Linked DNA regions of Macaca mulatta. The protein of the gene in region 1 interacts with the protein of each later gene in a pairwise test. Links are inferred from orthologs where the notes say so. Each region holds a gene or a part of one and is shown on either strand. Other genes may lie near its edges.

Region 1 (4,300 bases):
ACCAGGGTTAGGAACGCCCACTCCAGACAGCGAGCCCAGAGGCGCTCTCTGCTGAGCCTCCCTGTGGCGCCCAGCTCTGCCACAGACTCTCGGTCCCCTCCGTGCTCAGCAGTGCTGGTGCTGAGGCCGCAGTGAGTAGGGCTCTGACGGGCAGGAGCCCACGCTTGGTTTCCGCGCTTGCAGCTGGCGCTGCACTTGGCCTGGCTGCCTTGCTTTTCCCGTGTTTCCCTTGTGGCCATTCATCCCTGTGTCCATCTGTGCCGGTTTCTAGTTTGTGAGCCTTGGAGAGAAGGGACCTTACAGGGTCGTGTCCCCTGCCCAGTGCCTGGCCCGTGGGGGACTATCAGTCACCACAAGGGACTTAGCTGGAGCTGAGCAGAGGGACCTGGGTAGTTAGGACACAGCCTCCTGGGTGTCAGGGGTGTGAGGAGTCAGGTGGTTGTGGGGGTTCAAGAAGTCGTTCTGGGGCTCAGGAAGGCAGGGTCCTGGATTCCCAGGTGAGATGGGCAGGCGGGGCCGGGGCCAGAGCCAGAGGCCACCAGATGGGTCTTTGGTGCCATGGCGGGTCCCCAGCCCCTCCCCTCAGAGGCAGGATGTGGTCCCCGCCGGCAGGGCCTCTCCTCCTGCCCTATGTGAGGCAGGGGGCTGGGGAAGGGCCCTGACGGAGCCGCTCCTGCCAGCCTGCACACCAGGTCCTGCCTGGGCAGGTCATGGGGCCGGGGTGGCCTCAGCCCAGAAGATGTGGTTTCGCGGCCCGCTGGCTTCAGTTCTCCTCCCGGCTTCCCAGAAGAGTCCAGTCTCACATCAGCCACTCATTTCCCTCTCCGGCAGCCGCTGGCTCTGAGCACGCCCTCTCTCGCCACAATCACAAGAAGTGAAACTGTCCCAGGAAATAGAGTGGAACGCCCCAAAAACACCTAGGGAGGGCGGCTCCTTCCTCCTCCTGCCTTCAGCAGAAATGGAGGGCAGCCCCACTCTCCTGCCGTGCAAGGGCCATTTCCTGCCTTTCACCTGTGCCAGAGTCTAGCCCTCCCGCGGTGGGTGTGACGAGGGGGTTTTTAAGAAGCTTCCAAGGTGTTGTGTGGCTGAGTTGAGAACCACCAACTCACAGGCAGGGAAGGGACGGGTCAGAGGCGTGGGGCCTGGAGGTCGTGTGTTCACTGAATGCCCGGCGCACATGAAGGCAGGTGGACAGAAAGGGTCCCGATGCGTGGGTGAGGATAGTCCCGTGGTGTGGGGGCTTCCAGAGCCAAGCCTTGGAGGAGGGCCGGGAATTCCTTGGGAAAGGGGCGGCTGTCTTTTTGGGCAGGATGCCAGGACACAAGACCAGCAGTGTACTCTGGGCAGGCTACCTTTTGCAGAGCTTGGGGTTGGGGGCATTTGCACTCGTGGTGCCCTGGGCTGTGACCTCCAGGCATGGGCTGGAGGGTACAGCAGGTGCCTGGCATGGGCAGAGCCCCAGGCTCAAGCTTCTCCCGCCCCCGCACTTCCTGCTCTTAGGTCCTGAACTCCTGACTGCCCTGCTGGACACCCCCCAGCCCCACACAGCCAACGCAATGTGGCACCGCAGGGACACTCATGACATCCCTTGGCGACATCTTGTGACAGCTCAGGGCAGGCAAGCACCAACCGGACCTGGAGAGCACCATGGTTGCCTGGTCCAGGGGCACAGGCCATGGCCCGTGTCAATAGTCACCAGCCCACGGCACACAACACCTCCCTCTCCTGCCCAGGCTGTGTGTGCACATCTTCACACAAGTGATCAGACCCGGGACGTTAAAGTTGCCGATGACTTGCCCCCAGAGGGCAGGGCCAAGCGTGTGACCTCAGGCAGCCTCCCTCTGGGAGCCTCCATTTCTGGCAGGACCCGGCAGCCACTCGGCTCTTCATGAAGTGCTGTCTGCTGGGAAGGGCCTCACACTATCCCTCTCGCTCTGTTCGGCATCCCTTGGCGCCAGGCACACATGGAGTGCCCGGGGTGAAGAAAGCAGCGCCTGTGCACCAACAGCGGTGCTGGGGTTCAGGGGCTCCTGCTATGTTCCATGGGACATTTCAGGGCTGTTCTTCGCATCCCAGGCGCTGTCAGAGGGAGTGGTTTGGGAGTTCAGTGCCTGCTTCTGCCTTCTCACTACACGAGGAAAGAGATGCTGTAAGTGCCTGTCATTGTCATCGCTTTCACTGTAGCTGAGAGCCATGAGGACTGAGGTGTGCCAGGCCTGTGTCGACTGCCTTGTGAAACTCAGTGTCCACATGGGGCAGGGGCCAGGCTGTCCCATCCTGAGACACGGGCACCAGAGCACAGGAGAGTGGTGGCCTCCCTGCCCAGCCGCCTGCACCTCTGCTCCTGTCAGCTCCTGCTGCCTCTCCCCACCGAGCTGGCAGGATTTTTTTTTTAAGTAGACCCCAAATACTCAAGGATGGGGGCAAATCCCCACATTGCTATCTGTGGGGATGTTTGTGTAGGCACTTCTGGAAGCAGTGTCTTCTGAGCCATGTGTTCCCAGGCTGAGGTTCTGGACTCCACCGTGGCCGAGATGGGGCCTACTGTGGCGGGGTCCCCAGTGGGCATGTGAGTGGCAGTCAGGACACACACAGGCGGGCAGGCTACCCCCACCCTCACCCTCCCTGTCCTGCAGGCCCGTCCTGCTCCACAGGCAGTGTGTGGCCCTGGGGTGCCCACGGCAGTGCCCGAGGTATGTGTCCTGATCACTTGGCCTACTGCCTCTGGCTGTGGATGCCATGTGGCTGGAAGGCCACCCAGGGCCTCCTGTGCTCTTCTTTATCCTCCCCCTGGGCTCACAGCGTTTCACCTCTTCTGCCCTCTAGCTGGTCAGTGAGAAGGTCGGAGGGGCCGAGGGGACCAAGCTGGACGATGACTTCAAAGAGATGGAGAAGGTGAGGAATAAACTGCATGCTCTGTGTGGTGGCGGCGCTGCTGGGGCCTGACCTCTGCAGGGCATAGTGGAGGCGGCCAACGCTGATGGGCCTGGGTCTGGACTCCTGGGGCCCTGCAGGCGTGGAGAGCTGGGGTGGTGTGGGGGCCTCGTCAGCTGGACTTGACAGGCACCAGCTCTCTCCCCTGCCCTGGGCAGGCAGCTGTGGGGACATGGCTGAGCTGAAGACATGGAGAGGGGGTTGGGGGGTCCTGGTATGGGCTCGTACGGCAGGAGGTGGTGCAGCAGTGGGGGCCTTGTGTGCCTTGGGCCCCCAGTGGCTGTGGAGTCTTTTTTTTTTTTTTTTTTTGAGACGGAGTCTTGCTCTGTCGCCCAGGCTGGGGTGCAGTGGCCGGATCTCAGCTCACTGCAAGCTCCACCTCCCAGGTTTATGCCATTCTCCTGCCTCAGCCTCCCGAGTAGCTGGGACTACAGGCACCCGCCACCTCGCCTGGCTAGTTTTTTGTATTTTTTAGTAGAGACGGGGTTTCACCGTGTTAGCCAGGATGGTCTCGATCTCCTGACCTTGTGATACACCCGTCTCGGCCTCCCAAAGTGCTGGGATTACAGGCTTGAGCCACCGCACCCGGCCTGGCTGTGGAATCTTATATGCTGCTTCTCTCCACAGAAGGTGGATGTCACCAGCAAGGCGGTGACAGAAGTGCTGGCCAGGACCATCGAGTACCTGCAGCCCAACCCAGGTGGGTGCTCTAGCCACTGCCAGGGCCTGCCCCAGGCCCTCTGGCCTCTGTCAGTCAGAGGGAACGTAGGGGATGACAGAACCACCAGGCTCATGGGTGGCAGGCTTCAGGCACAGCTGGATTCAGGGGTGCAGAGACCATCCTTGGCGCCACATGCTGCCTTTCCACCTCAGCCAGCAGCTCAGTCCCCCTGTTGACTTCACTATCATGCCGACTGATTCCTCGAGGCTGTCCCAGCCTTAAACCCCTCTTCCAGCCAGCAGTCCTGGCAGGGAGCCTCTCCCTCAGCTCACTTGTGGGACCTATTTGTATTGGCCGCCCCCTCACCCAGTGCCCCTGGGATGGGTCTCCCTGGCCGAGAGACGGACCTTTCCCCAAGGAAAACCCAAACACTGGCTCCATAGGAGGCCAAGGACAGTGGGTAGACGCACACCCAGCAGCGTCCACTCAGGCCCTGCCAGGAGCAGGCAGCAGAAGGGACACGGCTCCTCACCTACCCTGGGAGCCTTGGCCTCACCACCCCCCACTGCATATGACTGCTGTGCCTCCTCCCTGGGACCCCCCAGATGAGAGGTATAGCCACATTCCAAGAGGAGCAGCCCTTGGAAGGAGGATGTGTTGCCCCCTGAGGAGCTTGGTCACCTCTCCACCCGCTGCCAGTTCCTT
Region 2 (4,068 bases), on another chromosome or scaffold:
GTTCAGTCTGTGACTCCTAATGAGTCGGTATGTGACATAATCTACTGTGAAGTGAAGGAGACTGGTGGAGCCACGGTAGAAGAAATAGAAATGAGGAAATTAACTAACCAGGGTTTTCCCACTTTCATTCCCTGACGAGAACAAATAATCATTGCTGATACGGATTCAAATGCTGAGGACTTTCCCATACTATATCAAGGGCAGCAAACCTCCAGTTATTCAAGATCCAACAAAGGAATAGCTCAGCTAACACAGCACCTTTCTTAAAAGAGAGAAATGATAAGAAGCAAGCCCACACCTGCAATTTATTCTGAACAGCAATTGCTAAAGGATCAGAGAATCTGTTGTTTTCCATGATACCATAGATTTGACCTGATTCTCACACCTTCACACTGTTCTACCATACAACTGTCTTTTGGATAACTCTGATACCTAAACAAAATAAAAAATTTTAAAGGCCTAAGATACAGCCTAAATCATAAAAATAGTAGGCCAGGCACAGTGGTTCAAAATGTAATCCCAACACTTTGGGAGGTGAATGTGGGTGGATTGCTTGAGCTCAGGAGTTCGAGACCAGCTTGGGTAACATGCCAAAACTCCATCTCTACACAAATATAAAAATTAGCCAGGTGTGGTGGCCCACACCTAGAGTCCGACCTACCTGGGAGGCTGAGGTGGGAGGATCACTTGAGCTGGAGAGTTTGAGGCTGCAGTGGGCCAAGATCGCACCACTGCACTACAGCCTGGGTGATAGAAGGAGACCCTGCCTCAAAAATGAAAAACATTAGGTCGGTGCAAAAGTTATTGTGTTTTTTTATGGCCTAAATAAATAAATAAATGTGGTTTTTGCCATAAAAAACACAACTACTTTTGCACTTACCCAATAAAATAAAAAATAAATAAAAGTATTGTGGTATGGACAGTGTAACTATAACATTAACAATACAGCTTGAATTCTAATTCTTTTAAAACAGCCAGCTCTGTGGTCGAGCTTTGTTTTCTTATTCAAACTTTATCTTATTCATCTACCAGCAAAAGAGCTGTTTTTGGAGATGAAACAAATTACCAGAGATGACAGCAATTTGGCAAGTTTTGTAAATATATACTATTCTTCAGAAATTTGAAGTTACTGTACACACAGATTTAGTATACATAGAAAATTCCACTCCTATGCCAAATCTATGCCCCTGTATGCTTTCCACTTATTTATTCACTATTTTAAAATAATGGTACCCAAGTCGTTGTTTCCATTAAACCAGCAATCAAATAAAAGCCTTTTGGGCGATGAGGAGCATCTGTTCGGAAGGGGGAGGTGCCACGCTTGCTGTTTCTCTAAGCTCCCTGGGAAGGGAAAGACAACTCAGAAAACCTACAAACTGTAGCTCCTTCCGGTGCCCGCGTAACCCCCGAGTCCAGGAGCGGGCAGGGGCGCCGCTTGGTTGAGCCCAGTGGGCACCCGGTCTGGGTCTGGGCCAGCCCCGCCGCAGCAGCCCCTGGGAGGCGGCGCTGCACGGGCCTCCGCGCGCGCCCTGACCCCACTTGGGGGCGCCCCTGGGTGCCGGCGCGCGGGGAACGCGCTGCCGGGGTGCTGCGCCGGCTGCCACTGTTTCCCGGGACTTCCCTCTTGGAAGATCTCCAGGCGCAGGTCCAGGACGTGCTCCTGCTAGGAGTCTAGAAACTCCAGTCCAGCCCGGACCCTCCCGGGGCCTGCACTCCCTGCGGGTAGAAGCACGCGCCGCGTGTCCCCGCCGGATCCCAGAACTTCCCCGAAAGTCCTCAGCTCCGGCAGACCCTCTCCCTCGAAGTTCCCCCCGCCACCCCTTGCAAGCCCCCAGACCCCGGGGACAGCCGCTCACCTAGCCAGCGGCTCCAGTCACCGGACACCGGACACCGGACACCGGATACCCGCCGCAGCCGCTCTAGCCGCCTAACCCCGCACCTGAGCCCGCCCCGGGCGGCGCGAAGGGGTGGAGGCGGGGGTGAGGCTTCCGCCCGCCCCCTCTGGCCCCTGCGCCTCCCATGCACCCCTGCAACCCCCGAGGAAATTCCCTTCCCCCTACTCCCACCCCATGCACACTCTCGCCAAAGCCTCTCCCCAACCCCAGCACCTACCAGTGCTGGGCGCCCCTGGGCAGGGTGGCCCGATCACCCGCCACATCCACTTGGCCGCCAGAAGCCGTCGGGGAAGGGAGGGAGGGAAAGGCAGAAGCGTCCCAAGCGGCGCAGGCGGGCTGAGCAAATACTCTGACCGGGACGCCAAACAGCTCCTGCAGCCGGCCCGCCCGCGCCGCCCCGCCGCGCCCACATGCCGGGTGACTAGCGGGGCGCGATCGCGGCCCCACCCGGGCGCCTGGAGGCTCTCCAGGGACAGTCGTCGGCCAGGCTGCGTGGCCTGCGCATCTCGGGCCGCCTGGTCTGCGCGCTGTCCCCGAGCTGCGGTAGTCCGGGGTAGCCTTGCTCCTCTCCTCTCTTAGTTCGTGGGACTGGGATCTGCAGTCTATGATCTCTTGGGGACTGCAGGACTTAGATTAAATCAGCAGGTCTGGGCCTTTCCATGTTTCAGAGCTCGGGGTTCCATGCGAGGTGGAGGGTAGGAGGGTGCGCGGGCCCCACTTGTTCACTCGGCTTGGGTGCCGCAGGCCAAGGCGACTCTAGAGCTTTTTTTTTCTTTCTTTTGTTGACATTAAGTAAATGATCAAACTCTTTGGCACTTGTCGGTACAGGTGTGGCTTTGTAGGACAAGATGAAGGACGGAAAAGGCTGAGAAGGAGACCGCAGTCAACACAGACCAGGAGAAAATGAAAGAAAACTGGGGAAAAAGTTAAGATGCTGAAAGGAGTCTTGTGGATTGCAACAAGAACAGGTTGGGTTGGGGCCTGAAGACATCAGGGAGGAGCTGGCAGTCCACAGTTAGAGGAAATCTTGGAGGAAAATTCAGCAGAAGCAGAGTGGAAAGGCATTTCCACTGGAGGGCATTTTCCATCCTAGAGGAGTATGTGGAAGAAAACCGCCTGCTTTGGTGAACCCCAGATTTTATGTGTTGGGAGAGATGTAATAAATAGCAAACACCAGTAGTCCTCTCCACAGACTACCTGACCTCTTCAGGAGCCTGACCTGCTGGGTTCAAACATAAAACGTCATTCCCCGCCTTTACAAACGGCAGAAGCTATGCAGTCACATCAAGCCTCGGGGCAGGCGGCATTGTCAGGAAACAAGACCCAGCTATTTAGGAACCATTCCAGGGATCCCATCAGGGAGAAATTTCTGGTCTAAGGCTTAGTTCCTACTGCAGTTTAAATGATAGCCTATGGGGTGCTTTAGGCTGGAGTGGGATTGGCCCCTGGAAAGCTACTATGGCGAGGTCGAAATGAATCCTAGCCCTGCATGGATGGATCGGTTAACTATACAGGGTGGTTTATCTGGAAAAATCCCATAGGACACTGTGACAGCCACTTACCTTTCTCATACCCAGTCTCTCTCCAGGTCCTGACAAGTCCTTCCTTATAATAGCTCTGTCACTGTGCTACTAACCTCTGTACCTCAATTTCTTCTCTGGATAGAGTGTCTGCCTCCGTAAGTTGTTAAGAGGGTTAAATGAGATACCGCATGCAAAGGGATTAGAACAGCTCTTGGCATGTGGTGAGTGTTCAAACACATTTGCTCAGATCAGTTCATATCACATTAAGGTACTATAATTCCAGGTTCCTGCTATCTCACCCTAGGCTATGGTTCTGCCCACCATGCCACTTACATTCCAAGTCATTCCCAGGGATCCCGTCTTCCTGTTATTCATACCCTTGCATAGCTCCCCGCCACTTTGTAAAGGTTGGTTTGCTTGACCAATAGAACCCGGCAGAAGTGATGATGGTATGCCACTTAGGAGATTAGGTAAGGAAACATCTTGGAGCTTCTATCTTGAAAGAATGTTAACAGCCCAAAGGAACACACACTGTACACAAATAGCACAATCAGCTCAGAACCCAGACTCTTCCCTTTTCTCTCTGCCCCTTTCCATCCTTCTTGTCTCATGCCTCTTTCCTGTATTTGGCATGATCTCTTCTTCTCTTA
Region 3 (4,003 bases), on another chromosome or scaffold:
ACACAAACCTTAACTAGTAAGTCATACTGGTGGTTATCAAAGGCTGTAGTAAAGAATTGTTAAATCAAAGCCCTAATATCTCCCAGATGACCTCAACTCACCTGGTTTCCTCTTTGCCACCTTGGGGGTTGCCCAGTCCACAACCTGCACTTCCTTCTCCATTCCTAGGCTCCGTTTAGTTACTTTCTCTGTCCGTGGATTTCTAGCCTGTGAGCAGATTACTAACACCATTTGGATTAAAGATGGTCTCTTATTTATCATTTTAGGACAAGCGAAAAAAATACAACAAAGTAAACCAAAGAACGAAGGAGACTTTGGACCCTGACAAGGGAGGGTTTCAGTCGCACAGCCACTGCTTCCTTCACTTCACATCTCTTGACAACCTGACAGGGAACATTGATCTGAGGAAGGATTTTTCAAATTATTTTAAGGAGAAAAACTTGAACTTCTTTGGGAGTCAGTAGGTTAGGGGTTCACTTACTGTGCTATTGGAAAAGTTACCAATAAAATTTTATACCAAACTTTAGTCATATATAAAATGGGGAACAATAATGACTGAGTTTTAAACCCTCAATTTGAGATATAAAAAAATACTTGGGCTGGGAGTGGTGGCTCACGCCTGTAATCCCAACACTTTGGGAGGACAAGGCTGGAGAATCACTTGAGGGCAGGAGTTCGAGACCAGCCTGGTCAAAATAGCGAGATCCCCACCCACACCCAACTTGCCCTCTACAAAATAAATAAATAACAAATATTCTATAGACTTTAAGAGCTACTATTATTAGTTCGTTGGCAGATGAAATGATGCTGGGTATTAGTACAGAGAAACCTGGAATTTTAGTTGAGTGAGTAACTTAGGAAATGGAATGTATTTGGTACGAGAAAATAGCTTTCTTCAAGCCGCCAGTCTGGTCCCTGAAGTCTACTGTTTACACAAGTCCCATTATTAAATCCCTTCACACATCCTGCTCAAGTCTCTGGCCACATTTTTTTTTTCTCTCTCTGTAGAATCGTTCTGAAGGAGTCCTGAATCTCCCAAAGTCTCCGGAACCATACTTTGGATAATTACATTTAAAGTGCACAGAAAAGGGCCAGGAATGGTATTAGTAATTCAACCCAGACAAAGGTCACCCCATGAATAAGAAAGAATGCAATTTTAGCATTTACAAATTGTGGGGGAGGGAACAGACGGGGAGAAGAAAATAAGAGGTGAGGAGGGGAGAAAAAGGGTCTTCGGGCGGCAGGAAGTGGGAGGAGACTTTGCAAACAGCAATCTTAGGGCTGGGGCCATTTTGGAAGCATTTGCGAGGCTCCGCTTCTACAAGTATGGAGAAGGCAAAAGGCAAGGAGGTCAGTACAGTTTTAGTGGATTTGTTTTCTGTCTTCGTCTTCGTGTTTCTGTCTTCCCTGGGCACTCTTGATTTTTCTATTGAGGAGAAAAGAATGCGCCTTCGAATTTTCTCCTCTTGACTTTTTTTTTTTTTTTTTTAAGAGTAAAGCCCAAGAACATGATTGCAGCCTGGTATATTGGAGTGAGGAGACAAGAAATGAGGTTTTCTAGGGTTAGTTGAGGAGGTTGAGGGTGTCAAAAGATAGGGGGAAAGAAAGAGGCCGGGCGCGGTGGCTCACGCCTGTAATCCCAGCACTTTGGGCGGCCGAGGCGGACGGATCACCTGAGGTCGGGAGTTCGAGACCAGCCTGACCACCATGGAGAAACCCCGTCTCTACTAAAAATACAAAATTAGCTGGGTGTGGTGGCGCACACCTGTAATCCCAGCTACTCGGGAGGCTGAAGCAGGAGAATCGCTTGAACCCGGGAGGCGGAGGTTGTGGTTTGCCGAGAAGGCGCCATTGCACCCCCAGCTTGGGCAACAAGAGCGAAACTCCATCCCAAAAGAAAAAGTTAAAAAATCAGGCTTTCAGGTTAGTTTTGGAACAGGGTCTCTCACTTTGTCTCCCGGGCTGGAGTGCAGTGGCACCATCACTGCTCACTGCAACCTCGACCTCCCAGGCTCAAGCGATCCTCCCACCTCGGCCTTCCAAAGTGCTGCTGGGACCACAGGCGCGCGCTGCTGCTGCCCGCCGGTTTTTCTGTTTTGAAGAGGTGCTTTGTCCTGTCAGAAAGAATTAACCGAATATCGGGGCTAGAGGGAAATGGTAACAGGAGAAAAGGGTGGTAGGAAGAAGTAATTGAGATTATTATTTTTTTTAATGAATCGAGTTTCACTCTGTCGCCCAGGCTGGAGTGCAGTAGCCGATCTCGGCTCACTGCAGCCTCTGCCTCCCGGTTCAAGCGATTCTCCTGACTCAGCCTGGGACTGCAGGCGCGCACCACCACGCCCAGGTAGTTTTGGTATTTTTGGTAGTGATTGAGTTTCGATATGTTGACCAGGCTGGTCTCGAACTCCTGACCTCCATTAGCCCACCTCGGCCTCCCCAAAGTGCTGGGATTACAGGTTTGAGCCACGGAGCCCAGCCTTGATATTTAAATTTTAATTTATATCTAACGTACTCTTAATCTGTGTGTCTTTATGTTACCTCTGATCCTCAGCTTCTGTGTCTGAGAAGTAAATTGTTGCCAGATTGCTATGAGAATTAAATGAATGAAAATAAGGAAGGCCAAGACCAGGCACAGTGGCACATGCCTGTAATCCCAGCACTTTGGGAGGCCGAGGTGGGCGGATCACTTGAGGCCAGGAGTTTGAGACCAGCCTGGCCAGCATGGTGAAACCACGAAAACCAGCTGGGCGTCATGGCGAGCGCCAGTAATTCCAGCTAGTCGGGAGGCTGAGGCAGAGAACTGCTTGAACCCGGGAGGTGGAGGTTGCAGTGAGCTGAGATTGTGCCACTGCGCTCCAGCCTGGACGACAGAGCGAGACTCCTCTCAAATAAAAAGAATATAGGGAGCCCTTGGGCGCTGTGGCTCACGCCTTTAATCCCAACACCTCATCTCTACGAAACATTAGCCAGGCGTGGTGGTACCTGTAGTCCCAGCTACTCAGGAGACTGAGGCAAAGGATCACTTGAGGAGGTAGAGATTGGAGTGAGTTACCGTCCTGCCACTGCATTCCAGCCTGGGTGAAAGAGCAAGCCCTTTTCTTTAATAAATGATTTATTTTTTTTGATACGGAGTCTCGCTCTGTCGCCCAGGCTGGAGTGCAGTGGCTGGATCTCAGCTCACTGAAAGCTCCGCCTCCCGGGTTCACGCCATTCTCCTGCCTCAGCCTCTCGAGTAGCTGGGACTACAGGCGTCCGCCACCTCGCCCGGCTAGTTTTTTTGTATTTTTTTAAGTAGAGACGGGGTTTCACCGTGTTAGCCAGGATGGTCTCGATCTCCTGACCTCGTGATCCGCCCGTCTCGGCCTCCCAAAGTGCTGGGATTACAAGCTTGAGCCACCGCGCCCGGCTAATAAATAAATATTTTTTAAAAAAGAATGAAAATAAGGAACATATCAAAGCGAATGCCTGGTATGAGACAGGGGATCAATATATCTTACTGTCTCTGGATTAAACAACTTTTCTCCACTCCCACTTTGCTTCCTTTGATTCAATTAACCAATATTTATGAGTGCCTATGATGAAAAGGAAAGAAATGCTATCCTCATGGAGCTTATAGTCAAGAGGAGTGTCAATCATTAATCAAATCACACAAACAAATTTAATTGCAATTAACAAGTAGTAGAAATGAGACAGTATGTAGTAGATTTGTCTGAAAGGACTAGAAGGGGTTCCCAGGTTAAATAACACTTAAAAGAGGAAGATTTTTAAGGTATAAGATTTTGAAGTGTAAATAGAAGTAGGGTGGAGGTTGGGGCTGAGGAATGTGTAACAACTTTGGAAAGGAAAGGAAAGGAATTACGCGGCTGGAGCTTGGGTAGGGAGAGCAGTGTGAAATAGAAGGTAAGAGTCTGGTAGGTAATGTTAAAGACAATTATTTTTATGCTGAGAGCAATAAACCACTGAAAGGATGTGTCACTCTGCCAACAGTGTTAGAAAATAATTT

What was found.
Region 2: the proteins of SH3GL1 (region 1) and SH2D4A interact in binary tests that used the Homo sapiens proteins (3 or more experiments, as listed by UniProt). The two-hybrid records come from large-scale screens. The link is inferred for Macaca mulatta from reciprocal best matches to the Homo sapiens genes SH3GL1 and SH2D4A.
Region 3: the proteins of SH3GL1 (region 1) and DPPA4 interact in binary tests that used the Homo sapiens proteins (3 or more experiments, as listed by UniProt). The link is inferred for Macaca mulatta from reciprocal best matches to the Homo sapiens genes SH3GL1 and DPPA4.

The regions. Positions count from the first base shown.
Region 1 is NC_133424.1:5,195,533-5,199,832, reverse strand, and holds the start of SH3GL1 (endophilin-A2), read left to right. Parts: upstream 1-1,500; 5' UTR 1,501-1,888; coding exon 1,889-2,149; exon of another isoform or gene 2,150-2,826; coding exon 2,827-2,895; coding exon of another isoform or gene 2,896-2,940; exon of another isoform or gene 2,941-3,339; intron 3,340-3,561; coding exon 3,562-3,634; coding exon of another isoform or gene 3,635-3,683; intron 3,684-4,300. UniProt on the Homo sapiens protein: Implicated in endocytosis. May recruit other proteins to membranes with high curvature.
Region 2 is NC_133413.1:20,954,308-20,958,375, reverse strand, and holds the start of SH2D4A (SH2 domain-containing protein 4A), read right to left. Parts: upstream 2,801-4,068; 5' UTR 2,159-2,800; coding exon of another isoform or gene 2,113-2,158; intron 2,038-2,112; exon of another isoform or gene 1,857-2,037; intron 764-1,856; exon of another isoform or gene 662-763; intron 1-661. UniProt on the Homo sapiens protein: Inhibits estrogen-induced cell proliferation by competing with PLCG for binding to ESR1, blocking the effect of estrogen on PLCG and repressing estrogen-induced proliferation. May play a role in T-cell development and function.
Region 3 is NC_133407.1:174,302,065-174,306,067, forward strand, and holds the start of DPPA4 (developmental pluripotency-associated protein 4), read left to right. Parts: upstream 1-1,203; 5' UTR 1,204-1,326; coding exon 1,327-1,350; intron 1,351-4,003. UniProt on the Homo sapiens protein: May be involved in the maintenance of active epigenetic status of target genes. May inhibit differentiation of embryonic cells into a primitive ectoderm lineage.